Kluyveromyces lactis: one gene and its partners. The protein of the gene in region 3 purifies or fractionates together with the protein of the main gene of each other region. This does not show direct contact. Links are inferred from orthologs where the notes say so. Each region holds a gene or a part of one and is shown on either strand. Other genes may lie near its edges.

What was found.
Region 1: the proteins of SOF1 (region 3) and ECM16 purify together in Saccharomyces cerevisiae (affinity purification with mass spectrometry; 4 studies listed by BioGRID). This does not show direct contact. The link is inferred for Kluyveromyces lactis from reciprocal best matches to the Saccharomyces cerevisiae genes SOF1 and ECM16.
Region 2: the proteins of SOF1 (region 3) and NOC4 purify together in Saccharomyces cerevisiae (affinity purification with mass spectrometry; 7 studies listed by BioGRID, with this or other methods). This does not show direct contact. The link is inferred for Kluyveromyces lactis from reciprocal best matches to the Saccharomyces cerevisiae genes SOF1 and NOC4.
Region 4: the proteins of SOF1 (region 3) and KRE33 purify together in Saccharomyces cerevisiae (affinity purification with mass spectrometry; 3 studies listed by BioGRID). This does not show direct contact. The link is inferred for Kluyveromyces lactis from reciprocal best matches to the Saccharomyces cerevisiae genes SOF1 and KRE33.

The regions. Positions count from the first base shown.
Region 1 is NC_006042.1:1,596,352-1,602,655, forward strand, and holds the start of ECM16 (ATP-dependent RNA helicase ECM16), read right to left. Parts: upstream 3,546-6,304; coding exon 1-3,545. Other genes in the region: SAS2 (histone acetyltransferase), read left to right, coding at 3,910-4,869; DNA helicase RAD5, read right to left, coding at 4,936-6,304. UniProt on the Saccharomyces cerevisiae protein: Probable ATP-binding RNA helicase. Required for 18S rRNA synthesis. May play a role in restructuring of the pre-rRNA.
Region 2 is NC_006038.1:951,596-957,034, forward strand, and holds NOC4 (ribosome biosynthesis protein NOC4), read left to right. Parts: upstream 1-2,523; coding exon 2,524-4,089; downstream 4,090-5,439. Other genes in the region: ASN1 (asparagine synthase (glutamine-hydrolyzing) 1), read right to left, coding at 1-1,240; PPT1 (protein serine/threonine phosphatase), read left to right, coding at 4,353-5,439. UniProt on the Saccharomyces cerevisiae protein: Involved in nucleolar processing of pre-18S ribosomal RNA and ribosome assembly. Has a role in the nuclear export of 40S pre-ribosomal subunit to the cytoplasm.
Region 3 is NC_006042.1:1,438,299-1,443,564, reverse strand, and holds SOF1 (rRNA-processing protein SOF1), read right to left. Parts: upstream 3,956-5,266; coding exon 2,519-3,955; downstream 1-2,518. Other genes in the region: POM34 (Pom34p), read right to left, coding at 1-10; PSR1 (phosphatase), read left to right, coding at 761-2,005; KLLA0_F15576g (uncharacterized protein), read right to left, coding at 4,432-5,266. UniProt on the Saccharomyces cerevisiae protein: Required for ribosomal RNA processing.
Region 4 is NC_006042.1:2,272,040-2,278,348, forward strand, and holds the start of KRE33 (ribosome biosynthesis protein KRE33), read right to left. Parts: upstream 2,838-6,309; coding exon 1-2,837. Other genes in the region: transcription factor NDT80, read left to right, coding at 3,697-5,433; FYV6 (Fyv6p), read left to right, coding at 5,797-6,291. UniProt on the Saccharomyces cerevisiae protein: RNA cytidine acetyltransferase with specificity toward both 18S rRNA and tRNAs. Catalyzes the formation of N(4)-acetylcytidine (ac4C) at positions 1280 and 1773 in 18S rRNA.

The DNA of each region.
Region 1 (6,304 bases), about 160 kb from region 3:
GTGCTTTTAATGTCACAAAGAGACTTCATCCTTGTTTTCGCCTTTTCATTATTTTTATTGACATGTAGTGATTGGAAAACCAAGTATTTCGGAGGTTGCTCGCCAGAATTGTTGAGAATTGAGGTTGGATGAATATAAACAAAGATATCATCCAAAGAAGATGTTTTCTCAGCAAGGACTGGAACATAAGGGATATTGAAAATGTTGGTTTTGTTGATAGTAACGTCTTCCGGGAATAACTGGTCTGCGCGAACGGCCACCTGGTCGATAAATCCTGCTGTGATCATTTGCTTGAGTAATTTGATTTGAACATCGGTGGGGATCGAGCTCTTCAAGTCTTCGTCTTTAACATTTACAGCTACATTTTCTCTCGAAGTAACTGACCTGATGATGAACATCACCTGCTTTCTCAACTTCATAATCTCCTCTACGGTTTTTGCCCTTAAGAAATTTTTTTCCATGAAAGAACTGTGCTGATCCTTTGGAATGAAATCCAACGCAGATACTGCACTTAAAAGACGGAAAACATCACTGAATTTATCAAGCTTACTAAATCTAATTTTGCTTTTAACATACTTGGAGCGCAATAGCCTTTTTCTTTCCTCAGCTTCGTGATCAGGATAGTCATCTAATTGTCCTTCATCTTGTGTCTTGGGCACAGTATCCATGATACCAAGCTCTTGTTCAGATAAAAACGGCTCACCTACTGAAAGGGCACTGACAATGGTAACAACATATTTCAAACAGTCGCTTTCATTACCAACAAGCAGCATTTTAGAAAATCTTGGACTTAGCGGAAACAAACTCATTGCTTTACCATCATCAGTGATTCTTTCATTACTGTCGAGTGCACCTAGGTGTTGTAAGAGCTTTATTGACTTCATCAAAGCTGGTCTTTCGGGTGGGGTAGGGAATGGAAAATTCACAATATTATGAACAGCCATGCTCTTCATTTGCAAAACTATACTCTCCACAGGCATTCTTAAAATTTCAGGCTTAGAAAACTGCTCAAAATCTCTTTCGAAAACTGCAGAGGAGTATAAACGATAACAATGACCAGGCCCTGTACGCCCTGCTCTACCACTTCTTTGGCCAGCAGAAGCTTTGCTAATCCAGTCAATTTCGAAACTCTGAACACCATTATTTTCATCAAACTTTCTTTCCTTTGATCTACCACAATCAACGACGTATCTTACTCCCGGTATGGTCAATGATGTTTCTGCCACATTAGTAGCAACAACACATAATCTGGAGTTTGGTGGGGGATCAAGGAAGACCTTCATTTGCTCTTTGGTGGGCAATAGCGAGTAAAGAGGAAGAACATATAGTGGATCTCTATCCGTCTGACCTTCTTCAAGTGTTTCTTCAAAACCTTCTTCTTCGTCCTCTTCTTTGTCCTCAATATCTTCCTCATCAGAGAGTAAACAATCGTCAAATTCTTGTTCCTCTCTAACTCTGACACTGAAGTCGATATCTTCAGCTTCTACATCTGCAGTTTTGGCATCTATTTTCACTGTAGGTATGTGGTCATTTTGAATGAGAGTTTGATGTTTCTTGGGGAAAGGAAACTCTTTTCTTAACCTTTTTACCATGTGCGTGATCTCTTGCTGTCCTGTCATAAAAACCAAGATAGCACCAGGAGGCAACCTTTGATGTATTTTACACGTCTTCCTGAAAGCCTCTTCAGCATAGTTATAAGCTGTTCTACGATTGAAATGTACAGCCACTGGATACTGCCTGGCGTCGACCTTTAAGACAGGTGGAGAAACAGGGAATAAAGTAGGGTTTTCACTAAAATCTGATACTCTCAAGGTGGCAGACATGATAATTAGTTTAAGTTTTTTGTACTTAGCCGGATCAGTTGCATGCTCCTTAGCACGTAAGCTGACACAACGACTTAACATACCAATCAAAATATCTGTATTGATGTTCCTCTCGTGAGCTTCATCGATAATGATAGAAGAGTATTTAGAAAGTCTAAAATCGTTCATCATCTCTCTTAGCAAAACACCATCAGTCATAAATTTCATTCTTGTTTTATCCTTGGTAGAAGAATCGAACCGAATTTGGTATCCTACATATTCGCCATGATCACCCATCTCATTAGTAACACGTCCAGCCATAGAGACAGCGGCCACTCTTCTAGGTTGTGTTATTCCAATCATCCCAGGCGTGTCAGTTGAGGACGAATTACCATATCCTGCCTCGTAAAGAAACTGCGGTACCTGTGTCGTTTTACCTGAACCAGTTTCACCACAAATGATTACAACGTCATTATGATGGATAGCTTCCATAATTCTATGTTCCTCGGCGAAAACAGGTAGTGCGCTTCTCACAGCTTGAACAGCATCAGATCTCCGTACCTTGACATAAAAAGCCTTACGTGTTGAATTTTCGTTCACATTAAATTCATCTGCTTTGAGTCCATCTTCAAAGTCTTCAGGTCTCTCGGTCCTATCGACCTTGATGTTGGAGGAAGGCATAACCATTTCTACATCTCTACCTTCAAGCTTTTTAATTTCCTGATTTGCCCACTCTTTAAATTCTTGGGCAACTGAAGAACTTACGTTTCTGCACTGCGCTATTTCTGAATCCGATCTTTCCTCGCCGTCAGACTCACTCGACTCATCATCGCTGTGACTATCAGCATTACTATTAGATTCACTCTCATCAGGTTCACTTTCTGCAGTGGATGAATGTTCTTCTGATTCACTTTCGTCAGATTCAAAATCCTGATCATCATCCAGTTTACGCCTTCTACGTTCTTCTTGCTCTACCTTTTGCTTCCAGTTATACCTTTTCTTCGAGGCCCTTTTATTCACCACCTTTGCATTACCGAATCCAAAACCAAAACCTGACCCACCAAATTTACTGGGTCTATTATCAATAAATCCCCCAGTATTTGCCGAAATAGGGTGATCTGAACTGGTATGGTCCGTTTCATCACTATCCGAATTGCAATTTTCAGCTGTGCTTTCCTGACTGGGCCTAGTTTCTGGATGATCTTGATACCAATCCCTTACCTCAGTTTCATCGTAAAGAATTTCCCTGGTAGTTTCATCACCACGTCCATTTCTTTCTAATTTGAGGGCTTCTTCAATCCCTTGCCTCTTAGTTTGCCTTCCTTGTCCCAAAATCTTAGAACTTGTCAAAAGCTTAGTATCAATTTTATAGTCCTGAAGTTTTTCTATCAAAACTTTTTTCTCCTCTCTTTTCAATTGATGCTCGATGAACTTCTCTAACCTTTTTTTCTTCGTCCTAGAGACCTTCGTTTCCTTAGGTGTGAATAGCTCTTCCAATTTACGCTTTTTCTCTTGTTTCTCTTCCTCCGTCATGGGTTTCAATACAGCAGCGTTCGTATCTTCCTGATGATCGGGTGATTCATGATGTTCATCTTCAGATGAATTACCTTCTTCAGAATCAGCATCGGAAGAATTTTCAAGTGCACGGGTGAACTGCCTATTCCTTACTCTCTTCAACTCCTTCAACTTAGACATCTGACCCGCGCGTGCTTTCTCATTCCAGCGCTTCCTATAGGTACCCATGTTTGTTGTTCAATTTTTTGACCGTTTAACGTGCGAGGTACTTCTCTTGACTGTTAATGTCACAGAGGCCTATAACATTCAGACTACCAGCCTGTTATCAACGAGATTTTGATATATAGATGCAGGTGAGCTTGGATGCGATGAGATGCGATGAGCTTTAAAGCTTTTTCTGCCATAAAGGAAGATGAAAAAAAAAAAAAGAAAGTCGCTTTCAACGTTTTGATAATTCAAAGATATAGGCAATCTTTTGTACATTTAAGTTCAAAGAGCAGTTGATTCCACCGTTAATTGGGTTTTCAAGTACTCATTAAATTTGGGAAACGTGATAAATCGCATTTTTTGCCTCTTTTCAAATCATTAATGAATGGTTCCCAAACCTGATAAGCACAACAGCTCAACAGAGGATGAAGAAATATATGGTATTCTTGACAAGCCTAATATTAGGCACGTCCAATTTGGCTTGAATAAAAGATTTGCAACTTGGTACGGGAGTAATGTTTATTTTGGAAGAAATAAGAGGACCTTGGGCTTCAAGGAATCGAACAATGAGCACACCGCAAAACAAAGCCCTACTGAAAAGAAGTTTGAAGATCAGTATTGGATTGATACCCTATACGTATGTGAATATTGTTTCAAGTACACTGATGATGAAGCAGAGTTAATCGCACATGAGTGCTTTTGCCGATATAAGAATAAGCCACCCGGTAGAATAAAATACAGAAGCCCCGAATACACTATACGAAGGGTAAAAGGTTCTAAGCATGAAGTTTTCTGCCAATGCTTATGTCTATTTACTAAGCTATTTCTTGATAACAAGTCTGTCTACTTCAAAGTTAAGCATTTCGAATTCTATATTGTGTATGAGAACAATTCTACAGTACCGATGGCATTTTTTTCAAAAGACTTATATTCCTACCACCAAAATAACCTTGCATGTATTCTTGTCTTTCCGCCCTATCAAAGAAGAAGATTGGGTACTCTCTTGATTGAGTTTTCCTACACTTTATCAAGATGTCAGGGTCTGATTTCGGGTCCTGAAGTTCCTCTATCTCCTTTCGGTTTAATTGGCTATCTTAAATTTTGGTCTTTCTCAATAGTTTGGCAGTTGACTGAAGGTAATTTGAAAGATGTGGCCCAGGTCACTTTGAAGGATCTTTCCGAGGCCACTGGTTTTAGAATCAATGATATAATTCAAGCTCTCAAATATCTTGATTGTTTAAGTGATTCTGAAATAAGACTCAATATCATCCGTTCATGGGCAAGACGCAACAAGGTATCCCATGGATTTATGATCAAAGATGAATATCTACTACTTGATGATTAACGAATTAAATAACAGCTTAAATGCAAAGCCCTAAAAGGCTTCTATATGATTGAATGTCATGATAGTCTATTGAAACAACATTTGGATTTCCTCGATCCTCTTCTGTCTCCTTTCTGCCTCATCACCCTCAACAATATCCCCTAACATTCTCTTTCTTTCCTGTATTCTTAACATTTTCTCTTCTACACTATTATCGATAATGAACCGGACAACTTTGACAGTTTGCTGCTGACCAATACGATGTATTCTATCAATCGCTTGATCTTCCATACCTGGAGACCACCATGGGTCCATCATAAACGCTCTTGATGCACAAGTCAAATTTAATCCCACACCTCCAGTTTTCAACGACAAAAGTAATAACTTTATACAACTCAAATCCTTATCGTGGAACTGTTCCAAGATTCTAGTCCGTTCCTTCATATCTAACCGTCCGTCGAATTTGTAAATAATTACCTGATCTCTTGGCAAATGCGAACGTAGCTCTATTTCTAGAATGTCTAGGAATGATGAGAACTGAGAAAATACGATTATTTGTTCACCAGGAGAAGTTTCTTGTATTTGCTTGAGATGCCTCAATAAAGCTTTAATTTTAGTCGATTGGAAATGTGAATGAAACGAAATTAGTTCATATCCTCTTTCAGCATCAATTGGCTCCTTTAGCTTTAACACATTAGCTTCTGAGATCGGCATTCTACAATATGGACAGTTGATGGATAGTTTTTTATTTTGCTGAAATTCAATGTATTCTGCCAAACAAGGTTCACAAAATGTGTGGAGACACTCTGTTATAGAGACCGCAGACAGCGGTTCAATACACTCAGTGGTGCAAATAGCACATTCAAAAGAAGGTAATTGCTCTGAAGCGCTGTGAATATCACGAAAGTTCGCACTTAAAGCATCCAATTTATCTTGAGAAATGGAACTTTTTGGTGACTTAATATTTTTTGGCATGAGGATGGAGGAGATGTTTTGAGTTGAGTTCTCCAGATCTTCAAGATCTGGGTCTCCGAGATCTGGTGTCTTTTTGAGTAAATCCAAATGACAGCAGACTTGTCTAAGTCTTAAAATATGGACCAAGATATTAGTGTAGTTCTTCAATAGATCACCTTTGGCCAACCCTTCTTTAACAGAGTTTTCCGCATCTTCTAACATGGATTGATAAACTCTTTTCTCACTGGATGAAAGTTGCAACTTTTCGACGATTACTTCCTTTGGAGGTAAAGAGACTAAAGGTTTGCCATCAACATCCTTCATATTCTTCGTTCTTCTGAGAAGCACAGGCTCCAATACTGCATTTATGACATCAAATGCCTGCGCATAGTTACCTTTCTCGAAAGGAACTGAAACGTAACGCTTCCAATAGTTGATGTGAGACCAGGGCTCTAAGTTCAAGAACTGAACTAAGGAAAATAGATCGTCAAGTCGATTGATG
Region 2 (5,439 bases), on a different chromosome or scaffold from region 3:
CCATGGTAGATTTGTTAGCACGCAAACAATCAGCCAAGTGCAAGTTCTTAACTCTCTTGACAGATTCGACGTGGAATTCAGCAGCTGATGGAGCTTGTGCGAAGTATAGATAACCACCAAAGATTTCATCGGAACCTTCACCGGACAAAACCATCTTAACACCTTGAGCCTTGATCTTACGAGAAAGCAAGAACATTGGGGTGGAAGCACGGATAGTAGTGACATCGTAAGTTTCTAAGTGGTAGATAACATCGTCCAAAGCGTCTAGACCTTCCTGTAAAGTGAAAGTATGTTCGTGATGGATAGAACCGATGAATGTAGCCACCTTACGAGCAGCTTGTAAATCTGGAGCGTTTGGCAAACCAACAGCGAATGAGTGCAATCTAGACCAGCCAGCAGCATGTAGATGACCTTGTTCGTCAAGCCCAGCCAATTGATGTGGGTCACTGTCATAAACAACTGGATCAAGTTCGGCATTAGTTTTTTCTGTTTCTCTTGCGGCAATAGCAGCAATCAAAGAGGAATCCAAACCACCGGACAATAGAACACCGTAAGGAACTTCAGCCATTAATCTCTTTCTAACAGCCTTTTCCAAACTTTCTCTAACAGCCTTAAAGTCAACTGGGGTGGTTGGAATTCTGGATTCGTCCAACCAGTCAGGAGTGAAATATCTGGTCAATTTGTCAGTTTCAGAGTCGTATACGTGACCTGGTGGGAAAGCAATGATTTCATCACAGTCATCGGTCAAACATTTCAGTTCACTGGAGAACCAAACAGACTTTGGAGAAGCAGAGGATCTACCCATGTAAAGAGTGGTAATACCGATTGGGTCTCTGGCAGCGATGATACGATCCTTCTTAGAATCGTACAAACACCAAGCGAACATACCATCCAAGTGTTTTGGAGCATCGATATCGTACTTTTCGTATAATGGAATGATAGGTTCACAGTCAGACAAAGTCTTGAATGGATAGCTTGCACATTCTTCTCTCAACATGATATGGTTGTAAATTTCACCATTGACGGCCAAAGTGTAAGAACCATCTTCGGAAGTGATTGGTTGGGCACCAGAGTCCAATCCGACAATAGCCAATCTTTCGTGAACTAGAATAGTAGAGTTCTTAACAATGTTACCTGACCAATCTGGACCACGGTGTCTGATTCTCTTGGATAATTGTAAAGCTTTTGGTTTGTAAGCCTGAACATCAGGGTTTCTGAATGAAGCAAATATACCACACATCTTGGGTCCTGTTACTTCGTTATTCTGTATATCTAATTGATAAGAGCGAGTAAAAAACCAATACTAATACAAAACAAAGATCCTAACATAAACATATAAACAATTCTTATTACAAGCGAGCATTAGTTTTCTTGTGATGAGCATCAATTCTTTATACTTTTTCCAAAATTTTTCACCAGAGCTTGAATCGCCGTATTCTTTTTTCTTTCGAGATATTGAAAATGACTCAGTATCAATTGCATATCAAAAGAATATGACAAAGCAGCAGAGAAACGAAAAGTAACGAAGTGAAAATGAAAATTGGTGCCAGATTCTAACTCTGATTCATAGTTGATTCATTTGTTCCCGCTCCGACTTGTCATATTCACGATACCATCGTATCACGGCATTTTTTTCTATCTAATATTTACGTTTACGTTTACAGTTAGTTTAGTTTTTGAAATGAATCGCACAAGGCGATTCATATTAGCAAGAAGCAAGACTCAAACACACAAACTCACATCAAGTCTATACATGGGATGACCTTCCCAAAAAGAATCAGAATTTTATAAAAAGTGTCCCAAATCATTCAAAGAATGTAACAAGATTATAAGGCTTGCGAGGGCACCACATTCTCCATTAAAACCATGAACAGAAAATAATTCCCATCCACGAAAGAATTGTAAGAATTAAAAAAGCGCAAATAGTATCATCGTCTTCTTTTAAAACTTGGAAGGTCATGTGGATTTAAGCCCAAAAAGAGTAATACAAGTAAAGCCTATCAAAGTTACATCTCTTCTACATCACCAATTGTGTCTTGTAATTTCTTGGTTCATAAATCTTTCTCTTATATATGATGAAATTCGGGCTAGATCATTTTATACTAATCGTTGAAATTTGTATGCTGTTAGGGCTCATAGGCTGCCGTGAACTGGAGGATACGCACCCCCTGAAGGAACGAGCATCAGTGTGCGTATTCAAGGTGATGCAGGCAAGACTTGACTGACAACAGAATGGTTTACCACTCTAAATTATATATTTAATGTCGCCATTGATAGCTAGTTTATTAGGAAATGCGATCACGTGATAAGAATAATTTCTTTTCAATTGTCTTCTACATTGCAAGAATCTCTGAAAAATTTGGAATCAAGAGATGAGATGAGATGAGATGAGATGAGATGAAGTCGAATAGGAAACGTTAAGGTAGGATATTCTCACCGTTATAATCTGTTTGATTACTCGCAATAAATAATTGGAATTCACATATAAAAGTTTCCCAAGGATTCAGACAGCGATTAACCAAGATGCTCTCGAAGGAAGAGATTAAGCAAGTTTGGAAGTCTATTAGCACCGGCAATGATAGAAAACATTACAACTCGTTGGTGAACCTAATCCATGGGTACAATGAACTTCTAAAGGAAAACGAATTGTTGCACAATTTGGAAGATGATTACCGTTATATGACCATTGCTTTGAGTCAGATTTTCATCAAACTTTTTGAGCGTGGTCAATTGATGCCTCATCTTGCATCCAATGCCAATGAAAAGAAATTCTTTGAATGGTGTAAGAAACTATATTTAAATTATAAGGTTAAGTTATTGGCTATCATTACATCTTTGCATGAAGTTAACTCGTTGAGTTTAGATTGTTTGGACTCATATATGAAAATGCTTCACCATGAATCGATATATTGGGCTTCGAAACCAAATAGTCCTTTCTTTCCAAATAAGACTTTAAGATCGTTACTAGTGGCTCTTTTCCATTGTAACTTTGAAGGTGATATCGGTTTCAAAGATGGTCAGAGCGAGAATCCCGTGTTTAATCTATTTGTGGAAGCCTATTATAAGAAGAATTTCGATATTCAATTCTACACACAATCAGAACTGATATCGTTGTTACCAGAACTTGATGGCCAAACATCTGACGAAATTTTGATGTCTAAATGGTTGGCTTTATGCAACAACGATGTTCAGGGATCACCAGACTTGGAAATATTCGTATCTGTGCCCCCACAAGCCATCGAGAATGATGCTAAGTTTAAATCCAACCTCGAAACAAATTGGTTGCACTGTCTAAATTTAGCCAACTTATCCAGTAGCCAATATAAAACTGTGCTTTTAGTGCTACACAAGAGAATTATAGTATGGTTCCATCAACCAACAAAGCTTATGGATTTCCTTACCGACTCTTACAACCAAGGTGGTATCGTTTCAATCCTTTCATTAAATGGTTTGTTTGAACTTATGAAAAAATACAACCTAGAATATCCAAATTTCTACTCAAAACTATATCAGCTTCTAACTCCAGAAGTAATGCACGTTAAGTACAGATCAAGATTTTTCAGATTAGTGGACACCTTTCTATCTTCTACACATTTATCCGCACAACTGGTAGCGTCATTCATCAAACGTTTGGCACGTTTATCCGTATCGGCACCACCAGGTGCTATTGTTTCTATAATACCATTCGTGTACAATCTAATCAGAAAGCATCCTACATGTATGATTCTATTACACGATCCAGAATACATCGACTGCGATTCAAAGAAAAGGCAAGAATATCTAGATCCATTCAACAATGAAGAAACCAATCCAGAACTTACAAATGCTCTTTCCTCCTCAGTATGGGAGCTAGAAACGCTAATGAATCACTACCATCCAAACGTAGCCACTTTAGCGAAGATTTTCCAACAACCTTTCCAAAAGTTAAGCTACAACATCGAAGATTTCTTAGATTGGTCTTACGATTCACTTTTGCAAGCAGAAACCAATAGAAAGCTGAAGATCCAACCTGCTCTTGAATTCGAAAGGTTTGAAACAATTTTCGAATCAGGTTCTGATTCAGCATTCCTACCCTTCATAAAATGGTAAATACATAATTTCAAGTAGAAAACTTAAGTAGTTCAATTCCAAATTGAGTACTTTCTTTCACTTTCGCAAATCTCTTCACATTACATCTCATCACATCGCCGTAATATTGAAACATCGAGATGAAAAAAATCAACAAGTCAACATCAAGAAGAGAAAGACTCACATCAGAAAAAACTTTAAAATGGGCTCCGTTTATCGGTCTTGAGGACTTAAAGGCACATACCATACCAGTTGGCTGCTTTTTTACCACTACTATTGAATAAATGACTGAGGAAGTGAAAGCCTGTAATCCAGAGAAAGCCTTAGAGCTGAAGAATGAAGGTAACAAGTTCGTGAAGGAGAAACTGTACGCAAAGGCAGCTGAGTATTATACAAAAGCCATCGAGCATGATCCCGAGAATACGATCCTATATTCAAACCGTGCGTTCACCAACCTAAAGTTGGATAACTTCCAAAGTTCTTTAGACGATGCTAAACGTGCAATTGAATTGGATAATAACAATTTGAAAGCCTATCACCGCAGAGCTATGTCTTACATTGGGCTACTAGAGTTTAGAAAGGCAAGGAAGGACTTGATCATTGTGTTGAAATTCAAGCCTAACGAGCTCACTGCAAAAAATGCATTAGCAATCTGTGATAAAGTCATACAGAAGGAGAATTTTGAAAAAGCTATTAGCGGTGGAGACTCTTCTAAAGTTGATTTATGTCAAACTTTAAATATCAGCTCATTCGATGCAAATGCCGATCTCCTCAAATATGATGGTAAAACCTTGGAATTCGAACAAGTGAAGTCAGATTCTGGGGCCAATGCTGGTGTCAGAGTTAACAATATGAACCAGGAATTCATTTCTTATATGATTAATGAGATTTTCCTAGAAGGTAAAAAGCTTCCAAAGGCTTACGTTGCAGCGATCATTTCTCATGCAGACTATTTGTTCAAGCAAGAAAACAGTGTTGTTGAACTTGATAACAGAGAAAAGCCGGATACAAGAATTTCTGTATGTGGTGACACGCATGGTCAATTTTATGATGTTCTGAACATCTTCAAAAGTTATGGGAAAGTAGGCGGCTCCAATGTATATTTATTCAATGGTGATTTCGTAGACCGTGGATCATGGTCTTGTGAAGTGGCCATTTTATTCTATTCTTTGAAAATCGTGTATCCACAGAACATTTACTTGAACAGAGGTAATCATGAAACCAACAGCATGAATAAAGTGTACGGGTTTGAAGACGAATGCAAATACAAGTACTCCCAGCGCATTTTCGATCTTTTCTCACAAAGCTTCGAATCTCTACCATTAGCCACTGTCATCAATAGTTCATACCTGGTCGTGCATGGTGGTTTGC
Region 3 (5,266 bases):
CATTATCCATTGCTACTCTCACCTTTTTCCTTTATATATCTTGATCCCTGTATTTACGGGGTAAACTCTCGATCAATTACCACAGTAAAAACACCACTAATATCAGGATATGAAACTTACCGTATCCAGGTAAAAACTGAACGATTCTTATTTATTAACATTGAAGAACTAGCTGTGTTTTTAGTAGTTAAACTAAGAAGTGAATCTTCAAGCCGGCCTCTATCTCTTTCAAGTGAAAAACATCTCGTTACCCGCACCATCTTGTGCCAGGGAAAAGAAAAAATTCTTTTTGCTTCGTTTGGTTCGTTCTTTAAGTTTTGATGTTCTGTTCAGCATGGAAAAACCAGAAACAGTCAACTTTTGCAGATTAAACAATTTTGAGAATAGAACATTGGTCATTGACTAACTCTCTTATTTTAACTGCAACTTAATTTTTTTTGGAGGCCATTTACAGAAGGGCAGTAAAGTCTTGAAAAGTACCGGGATTTGTCAGTGTACGGGTACTATATCAAGGGGCCAGTGGTTTCAGGGAGCCTGATTGGTTTGTGTATTTAGGTTTTTTTTGTTTGCTATCTTTCTTTGCTTAGATAGAAAGAAAGAACATATATTAATAACAGTATCAATCCGTTTGAAAAACCAATCTGATTAATATCGGTTATCCATTTTTTTTGGGCTCAGTGTGTGATTTTTGGTTTCTCTCACTCGCTCAGTGTCTCGATTTATTTATAGGTCGCTGTTGATTTTGTTAGGAATAAAAGTGATGGGATTCATTGCATCTTTATTGTGTGGTTCAAGCGATTCGGATAGCTCTAGGAAACAGAAGGGTAGGAATTCATCGTCAAGTAACAATAGTAATAAAGGTTCTAGTGGGTCAAGCTCGGAGAAAAGTAAGAGCAAGAATACGCTAAGTGCAAAGAAGAGTGGACGTCCAGGGGTTGCTGCGACTCATTCAAGACAATCAGAAATTCATACTACGTTATCCAATTCTACAGCCAAGATGCATCTGAAAAAGAAAAATGCGGCGAACAAGCATAGCTCAACTGTAGCGGCTGTTGCAAGTGCGCCTGTTGAGAAGAGTCCGCTGTCGAAGAATACGGCTGCTGTTAGTAATAACGATACTGATAGTGATGTCGTTGACGTTGACATGGTTGGAGAGGAAGATGACGATGTGGATGTAAAAGGGGATGAAAAGCAAACACTGTTGGTATATAACGCTGAATCTGATACAAGTACTGGCACAACTGCAGACACCGCAGTGTCTGCAACTCAGCCAACTGCAGAGGTCACGACCACGATTCACGAGACTGAACATACCAGTAGTGCGGATGACTCCGAGGGCATTCATAGTCAAGGCGTTAGCGATGTAGAAATGACAAATGGGGAGCCCGAAGATGGGGAACCTTTGGATTTGTCTCAATTGCAGCCAGATCAGGCCCATGCACCGGGGTGCAATACCTTGTTGTTGCCGAAGGCCGATATGTTTAAGGGTAAGAAATGTCTAGTCTTAGACCTGGATGAAACGTTGGTCCATTCCTCTTTCAAATATCTACGTACTGCTGATTTTGTTATTCCTGTGGAAATCGATAACCAAGTTCACAATGTGTACGTGATAAAAAGGCCTGGTGTCGACGAATTTTTGAGACGCATTACTGAACTATACGAAGTCGTGGTGTTTACTGCAAGTGTGTCCCGCTACGGTGACCCATTGTTGGATATATTGGACAAGGACAAAACTATTCATCATAGGTTGTTCAGAGACTCCTGTTACAACTACGAGGGCAATTATATCAAGAATCTTTCCCAAATTGGTAGACCACTATCAGATATGATTATCTTGGATAATTCCCCTGCTTCTTACATATTCCATCCTCAGCACGCCATTCCAATCTCATCCTGGTTTTCAGATGCCCACGATAATGAATTGCTTGACATCATTCCACTTCTGGAAGACTTGGCTGAAGAGAGGGTACCTGATGTTGGGGAAATCTTAGATGTGACAATATAATTAGTTGGTACTGATTCATTTTATGCTTTGTTTATGCAAACGATTGCATATATTGGGTCTTTTTTTTTTTTGCATGACCACATCTTCTTCTCTCTCTCTCTCCCTCTCTCTAATATTCATTGCCATAGTTTCAAATTGATAGACTCATTAGTACTATAATACTCATCATATTATATTGGGCAAGCAAGGCTGGTTCTTCTTGTGTTCACTTCCTCTTTTTTTTTTTTTTCTTTTTCTCTCACTTTTATTATGGAACTATACTTCTAATCTAATACTGTAAAAGAATATGAAAGGATTCAATTCGTTACATGCAACCCATGATTCAAATTATAAAGAAGATATCTGCTAATCTCGGTAAAAGATAGTTCCTTGCTAAAAACGATTTTTCATTGAAAGGAAAACTTGATCAACTACCTTGATTTATAACTTCAAGAAAAAAGAGACATGTTTCGAGCTTATTAACGTTACAAATTTATAAATATCTAATTCAAAACTGATAGAAATTCATATATTTTATTCATCTTCGGAATCGTTGGATCTATTCGAATTAGATTTCTTGTCGTCCTCGTATTGAAAGACAGTACCGACGATTTGTTTCTTCCTTTCAGGTAAAAATGGCATGTCTTTCCTTGTCTTTCTTTCGTTTCTTTCCCTTCTCTTCAAAGAATCAATTTCAATCTTCTTAATCTCTTGAGCTTTCTTAACAACCTTAGGGACGTGTCTGTGCCTGCTAATTCTTCTGACCTCTGGCATGTGCTTGAATCTTTCTTTAAGTTTTTCATCGTATTCCAACTTATTCTTTTCACGTGTACTCTTCGCATTAGATCTCTCCCATGCCTTGGCTCTCCATAGTCTAACGTTACCATCATCTGAACCACTTACTATATACTTACTGTCCATGGTATATTTCACTTGGAAAATATGCTGCATTCTCTTTGTATGATATATTTCTCTCGAATGACCATGTTTAACTTGGTAAATTCTGATTGTCTTATCATAGGAGCCTGTTACAACTTCGTCACCAGTAGGGGAAAAATCAACATCCATAACAGCACTAACATGATCTTTAAACACATGCAAAGCTTTGGACATATTTCTCATATCATAGTAATAAGCATTATGATCTTCATTGGCAATTACGAAGTTGAAGGCTTCCACTGGGTTCCAACAGATAGAGTTTGTCCTCATGGTTTGAACAATTTTTTGTGTTGGAGAGTTTGTTCTTAGGTCATAAAGAACCACAGAGTTATCACTACCCGTACTTGCTAAAATGTCGACCTCATTTTGATTAAATCTAACATGATTGATATTGTCCGCACCCCATGAAAGATTTGATATTGGCTTTGATCTGTTTGTATCCCAAAGTTCGATTTGGGCACCACCAGTAACAAAATTCGATTTTTGTCTATGATGATCCAAAGATTGGAAAGCATGTTCACCATGGAATGTTTTGATGATACCTTCATCTGTATTCAATCTTGTATCATCTTTAACGTTGGAAAAGTCGTCAGAATTCACTGACCATAGCTTCACCGTCTTATCGTCACCACAAGAAAGCATGAAGTTTTCTCTTTGTGGAGATAAATATGAAGGAGTAACACACAGACCAGTAACCATACCGTAATGTGCCTTGAATGAACTTAACTCTTCTCTAGTTGACATGTTCCAGTACTTGATAACACCGTCACCACTAGCCGTAGCAAGTTTGTTTAATACATTGTAATTCTTTGCAATGGTGTACACACCATCCCTGTGACCGTATCCAAGCTGACCGACAAATGGCTTAGCAAACATTCTTTCAAGCTTGGTGGCATTCAAAGCCTTTGTATATTCTCTAGCTCTTTCGAATGGATGCAGAGCCGGATTTAAATTACGAGGCATCTGAGACTCTTGTGTGCTCTTCACCGGCACATAATCATCGGCACTTCTGCTGATAGTTTTGATCTTCATTTCGCTATTCTTTCAATATCCCCAGTTGGCACTAAATATGGTAGACCTTGTGCTAGTTAATCAGCAACTATGATATGGAAACAGTTCCAGTGGTTTCCTCTTCCCATTCCCTTTCACTGCTTATGATGCGATGAGATGAGATGAGATTTGCATTTCGATAACTTGAAAAATTGTTAAAAAGAAATTATGCCGAATATACAAGGACGATATAAGATGACAGTTAAAGACCTTATTAAAATAACAACAACATGATTTAGCCATTGCTACAGTCACTGAGTACTTGAGTTTCCAAAGCTGTATTGGGATTATCTTTGTGTACCCTTTTTTTACCGTTTAAGTAGTGTCATTAGTATATTATATATCTTACAAAAAATGTAATGATTGCAGAACTGTATATCTATATGTTGGGTTGCACAAAATGGAAACAAAGTGTCAAAATTCCATTCTAGTCTGTGATTCAAAGTTATCTGTATTAATTAACTGGCAAATGTCGGTTTCGGAATTCTCAAATGTGCAAGCATTGGGTTACCAATTCTTTCGATAACGTCACTGGCCCATAGAACATCCAAATGTGAATACTCATCAATATACCAGATTTTGTAGACAGAGTGTGGTTCGTGGTTGATAAAGTGATTAATCAATCTTTCTCCGTCTACAAGTCTATCTTGCCTGGGTGTGAAGAGTAAAATCTTTGGCCAATTTTCTGGCAAAGGTTTATGTTGATTTCTGTGTAAATGTTCATCCATACTTACTGTTTCATTTTGTATTGGGAACCAGGTCTTGATGTCGGGGAACATGTCTTCGGCGAAAGTCTTGAAGCTTGACTTTAAAGGGTTAAGACTTAACCACCATTGCATCAATTTCACAGATATATGCACTGGAGAAAATAGGAAATGTCTATCACGCAAGGGTCTGTCCCATAAAATATCGTTCCAGTTGAACAAGTAGTTGAACATGACGTAAGACAAAAATGAGAATATCTTGTGTCCGGCCAACAAATTTCTCATCTCCATCATCATTGGTACAAATGATTTGTTTCCGAATACCCAGCGATTATCTATGTGTTTCGCCATAAACTTAACGAAATATTTTTCATCGAGTAGTGGACCGGGATAAACAGCAGGTGCTAATGCAACTAAATTATCTAATTTATCACTCAATCTGAACTCTGTATTTTTGTAGATCTCTTCACCATTTACAAGTCCCATAAAAGCTTGTGTGGTACCCTGGGAATGGGCCACTAAGGTAAGCTTCTCAAACTTATTTTGCTTTTTTTGGAGGACACTTTCAATAAGGGCTTCAAGGTCATAT
Region 4 (6,309 bases), about 830 kb from region 3:
GCAATTTCTTGGTCCTTGATTTGAGGTAAGGTTTTTTCAATAGACTCGCTTAAAACTTCCCTGAAGAAATTGGTGAATTTCCTGATAATCTTGGAGAACATGGCAATAGTTTGATTGGATGGTAAGTTCAACTCTTTCGTTATGTCATCAATGCCCTTGTGTTGCAAACCAATTGCAAGTAGTATACACGATTGTACGCTTGATAATGATACACCGTCACCCAGCTTTCCACTAAAGTATAGCAATGCCATCATTGGTAGAAGATCAACAATGACATGATAATCCAGTAAGTTGTTAGCATAGCTTTCTAACCTCTTTAGATCGAATGGAGAAAAGATGGAATCCAATTGGTCCCTTGTTAAAACCTTATTCTGGAACGATCTGCCCTCCGAGTCTTGGTCTAGTGTTTCACCCTTCTTAGCAGATTCAATGACATTTAACGCTTCGATGGCAGTGAATTTCTTAAAGTCGAACGATAATAAAGACAAGAATCTTTTATGGAAATCTTTGGCAAATTCTGCCAGCCATTTTGATTCACGACCTTCAAGAACTTTAACCATAACACATGTATGTTCACCAGTCAAATCATTCGCTGTTTGACGTAAGTAAACTGGGACAAATCCGTTGTTTTTCCAGAACTTATGTAAAGATTTTGTTAAACCATATGAAACACCTAAGTAATGCAAAAAGTGAGGGGTTTGTTCTGAGAGTTTCAGAAGCAATGGTGGCAACGTCTTTGCATCCCTTAATTTGATTTCATCTTTCAAGAGGTCTGCTTTCTTCAAATCCCTGTCATCGACTCTCTTGATTGTGTAGTCCTTTTGTACCGTATCTTCATTCAAATCGGTGAATTTACCTTCGAAATGATCTTTCAATAACTCCAGAGCCCTAGACCCATAACCCATAGAGGCGTATTCCGGATTGGTTGCAATCCTAACAACACGGGCACCACTCAAACCGGCAAATTCTTCATCTTGAAATTGCTGTGAGATTAGCCATGGAATTAAGTCACCACCAGCTCTTTGACCTCTTGCCAAAGAATTTCTGACAGAATCCTTCGAGATCTCACCTTCCAATGCGACCTGGATGACCACTAAGGGATCAGGTATTCTGCCGCCATCTTTTGGATCGATGGGAGGCAATAAAACGAATAGTTGATGAGCAGGTGCATCACTCATTAATTGCAAGTCGTTAGGAGAATTCTTGTAATGCGATGCGACATAAAGAGCCATCATCTTCTCCAGAAAATTTTCAGAAACAGGATGATAAGAAAATAGAGTATCTCTATTGACGATGAATAAATTACATTGAGATGGATGAGGTGTGCCTCTAGCAGCAAATCTTGGATTTTTGATTAGTTGAACGTCCAAACAAAGTAATTTATTCAACCATTTTTCAACTGGGTCACCAGGAGCGTATCTGATAGGTTCATCTAAGACAACTTCTCTCAAAGAACGGCCACTTGTTTGAACTTCTTGTTTCTTTGAATCTCTGGAAACAAGTGCTGTTTCGGAATCTTCACGGCCAGTACCGTTGGATTGAGTTCTTAGCTGTTGAATCAATTTCAAAGACAAAGATCTACCGGTACCTTCATAACCGTTAATAGTGGATGCCATAAACACTAAGTACGGACCCAAAAGCTTCTTTACAAGTGGTAGTGGAATTGCGGCAGCTTCATCAATGACAACAAGTTCTGCCTGTCCCAACACATGAGAATCATTTGGAATAATATATTGAATGGTCTGTCTATGTTCTCTCTTGATGTCTACTCTGACTATGGCTTTGTTGAAGCTTGGATTGGTGGACTGAATGATATCATAATCAATGTGCTCCTGATAGCCTAGAGCGTCAAATCCTTTGAAAATAAACTCAAATAAAGTCTTCAAATTCTCAGGGGAAGGAGATGTTACAAAGATATTGGAGTAACCATGGGATACAGCAGCAGCAATAGAAATACCTAGAGCAGCTGATTTACCTCTACCTCTACCTGCCGTCAATGCTACAGTTGAATTTAAAGTTTTCTCTGAAATGGCATCAATGAAGGTCAAGATTGCATGAGCTTGATTAACCGTTTTTGAAAGAGCAACTAATGATCCCGCAGGCTGAACATCTTCTAAAGACACTTTCAATTCTTTTAGTTCTTGATTTTTTGGTGAAATTTCTTCATCATCCTTTGGTGGAAGTGGTTTTACGTTTTTTCCTCCAGATATAGGTAAAACGTTTAACTCACTATCTACTACCAAACAGTTTTCATTCGAACCCAAGGACAAGATAAATCTTTCGTTGAATCTTGCCACGACATCGTCATGAGCTTCCGTTCTATAACGAGAGTGGATATCCATAGTCATAGTGTATAACTGTTTTAGAGAGGAAATGGACTTTAACATGATAACAATGATACCACCACCTTCAACGGTTTCGATGGTTCTTGCTAGCAAATTTGGAGTCAAAGCTTCAAAATCTTGTAGGATACACATACCATAAGTGTTACCCAAAATTTTTTCAGTTTCCTTATAATAACAGTATCGAATGTTTTGGTTAGAGATGAAAGTTTCAAAAGGATCTTGTTCATTTATCTCTCTGGTACCTCTCTTGATCTCTTTCTTAATCTTTGCTTCTCTCTTCTTCCTGTGTGAAGTGAAACCCAAGAGTTTCTTCTTATACGTCCATAACACGGATTTATTCATTTTGAGGTCAGCACTCATCATTAAATAGTGCAAGTTCGGTAGCTGGTTACGAGCATTGTCACCAACGATAACGAAAAATGATCTCTGATTTGTTTGAACACCATTTCTGATGAGAGCTGGGATACGAGAATCAATAGCTTTTTTACCCATCGTAATCTAACTTCTGGTTTAAAGTTTTAAGAACACACTCTTTAACAACAAACAATGACAGTTACGTTTCGCTGGAAGTTCGACCGTTGGGAAGAGTTAGTGTTTTTAATGATTTTTTTTGTAGTAACGAAGTACAGTAATCAGGTATTTTGGGGAGAAATAAACGTCTCGTAATACTCAGATAGCTTCTCAGCAAACCACCTCATCTCATTTGATCTCATCTCATCTCGAAATAAAATTCCTACCTAATACGATGAAATAGTAAAAAGACAATGAAAAAAAAAAAAAAAAATTAGGCAGAGAAAAGAAAAGATACTACTTACCCGGAATTATTTGATGAAAATATACTGTTACCCGCATGAATTTCATGCGCAGTGTAATTTCGGCGGCTAATTTCAAGAAATGACTACGTGTGCATAATGCACCATTATGTGATGTCGACTAATATTTTAAATTCATATTTAAACTTCAGTAGTAGTTTTCATGGGTATTAATTAAAGTTTTCTTCATGACTGACGAAAAGGGAAAAACTAACATTATATAAATACCAGTATTTTTGTGTCACAAGGAATAAGGGCAATATTCTTATGAAATAGATCCGATGAATAAGATAAGAGGTTAAGAACTGACATCAGAACGAGGTTCGATTATAAGGTTGTTTCTTTACCTGAACAAGCGCAGTTGTGGTTATCTCTTATACGGAACGTACGATTCCTAGGTTTTATTTTGGTTTTATTTTTTCGTGGTCATTCAGGTAAGCTCGGCGGTTATTCCATAGCAATAGCCAGGAGGAGAGTGAGAGCTAACTATATTTTCTTTTAATAGGAACAGAGTATAGTTTTATGTGATCAAACTTGCTATGATGGAGGATTTGGACCATCTGAACGATGAGAATATCAATATAGATGAGAACGAATTTTTGGAAACACTTGATAATGCTGACGGGGACGTGATCAAAACTTTTAGGAACGCTGACGGGTCATTAAGTAGTCATTTTGACAAGAGAAAAGTTCGTATTGCTCCAAGGTCAACATTGCAGTTCAAAATAGGCCCAGGCTTTACGCCAGTGGTGCCCAATCACAAGATATTGAACGATTTTGGACAGATTCAAGAAATCAAATTGGAGCCTCGGATTGATCGAGGGTTTGATTTCATAGATGACGATTGGATTGGTTATAAAAGAAATTATTTCACCGTGGTAACTTCATTTGACACACCGGGGACTGATCATATCGAGTTCATGAAACAAGCGTATCATTTAGATAACGGTGTGGAGATCAAATACTTCGCTACCAAATTAGCCGCCAAGTGTTTGGAAGATGATAAATTGATTAACCTAGTTCAACACACTGCAAAGCGAGATAAAGGCCCTCAATTTGCTCCTCCAATACATGTTATTGCACCTGCAAATTTGCCGAAGCACCAGATTATAAGAGATGCATCGAACGTGAGAAACGAATCCAAGATGAAAAAATTTGATAGCTATTTTTTCCTTCATAAAGAAGACGTTGGAACAGGATGTGAAGTAAGGAGTGTCTTGGCAAACTACCCATCGGATCCAATCAAAAAAGTAGCAAGGTATGAAAGGATACAGTTCGCCTCTTCTATAACTTTGAAGAAAACTAGCCAACAAAATAGACGGTTTTCACTTTTAGTGGTTTTAGGCTGCTATGTGAAGGGAAGACATGACGGTATTCAGCAGTCATCACCTTATCATGAATTGGATCATTATGATGAAGAGACTGACATGACGTTTGTTCCAATTCTAATGGAGAAGACGCCGCCTCTCATAATAAGAGGAAGATCTCCCTCTAACTATTGCCAACAAATCAAAGTCATGCATACCAAGAAATCAGATTTTGATAATGGTTCCCCACAAGAAAACGATCTTGATGTGCCAGCTGATAAGAAAGAGCGGAAAAGGCGAGGACGAAAAAGTAAGCAACCAGATCTTAAAACTACTGCAAATGTGTCTCACGATAGCGCTGGTCGAATCCCAACACTTCTAACCAATGGATTGCCGTCCACATTCGAAATATCACCGACTAGTGGTAACATGAGAATTAAGAATATACAACTGCACTCGTCAAGCACTGAGACCTCATTTCCAAGAGGTTTCCAATCTGAGTCATTGTCAGTAGCATATTTCAGTAACAGTGCCACTCCCATACAAGACTCGATTTTTAAGAAGAGAAGACTTAATATTAGTAAACCTGTTGTACTGGAGTCAAACCTTGAAGAACCGCTGGATGACATTACAGAAAATATCTTTAATACAATATCTTTTGAGGAAAGGACTCCATCGAAAGAAAACAAAGAGCGATTATCTTCTACAAGCGTATTCCTCCTGAAGCATGTGACTTACGATGTTTCAGAGCCTCCTGCGGTGGCAATTCCCAGGGCCATGCTTCCAAACAAGATGGAAATTTCCTACTGTTTGAATGATTATTCATCAAGTTTTATCGAATATCCACCTCCTAGTACGTCACATAAAAGATTGCCTGGTTCGAGAAGGCTCTTAACAGCCTCCGGAAACCCTTCGGATCTATTAAACCCTGCAGACTGGTCGGATGGGCCGAGCATCTTCCGTCATTAATAGCTTTCGCCTTATAAACAACCGCAACTGTTATCCGTAGCGTAGACAAATGATGCTGCAAACAGTTCTGGCAAGGAGGGATGTATTTTGGAGAGACAGACGGAATGGGTAATCTTACTTGCGTTAATTTCCGAACTTGAAAACAGACGTCTCTCATTTTTCCATGAAAAAACAATAAATTTTACAATATAGAGAGAGAGAGAGGCGCTGACAAATAAAGCCAGGCAAACTAAACGAACGTTCACCAGAACATGTCAGACATCTTGAATTCAATTTTTTGTTAGCTAATTGGTTTCAGACAGAATTTTCTTTGCATATTCTCACGGAGTTAATACAGCCAAAGATTACTATCCCAAATCACAGATGGCGGATAACCCGAAAGCCCCAACGTTCATCAAGGAGGGTTCTGGAGATTTGGAAAGCCAAAGGAGAAACGAGCAAGTCAATCGAGAAGTTGGCGAATTGGTTACAAGAAAGTCGCTCAGCGATCAATTGAGAGAAAATTCCAAGAAGAAACGCCAACAATTTCAGAGACAGACAAAGGAAAAGAACAGCTTCACGAGAGTGTCAAACGATGACTTAGATCATATCAATAAGGTAAAGCTGGATGAATTGGAAAAGCTTCGAAATTTTTCGCAGTGGGCTGAATCTGAGGAGCGTAATCGTCGGAAACAGCTGCAATTATTGCAGCAACCTTCTACACCGGAGCACACTAACAAACAGGTGATTTCCAAGAACGATCCTATTCCAACCTCCATTAAAGTACGAAAACTAAAAACGTCCAATGGCGCAAAGAATGCGCTAGGTGTGATTAGTAAACCAAAACATAAGAAAACTGACAGAACCCAAAAAAAGTAGCGAAAGCAAAAATTGTGG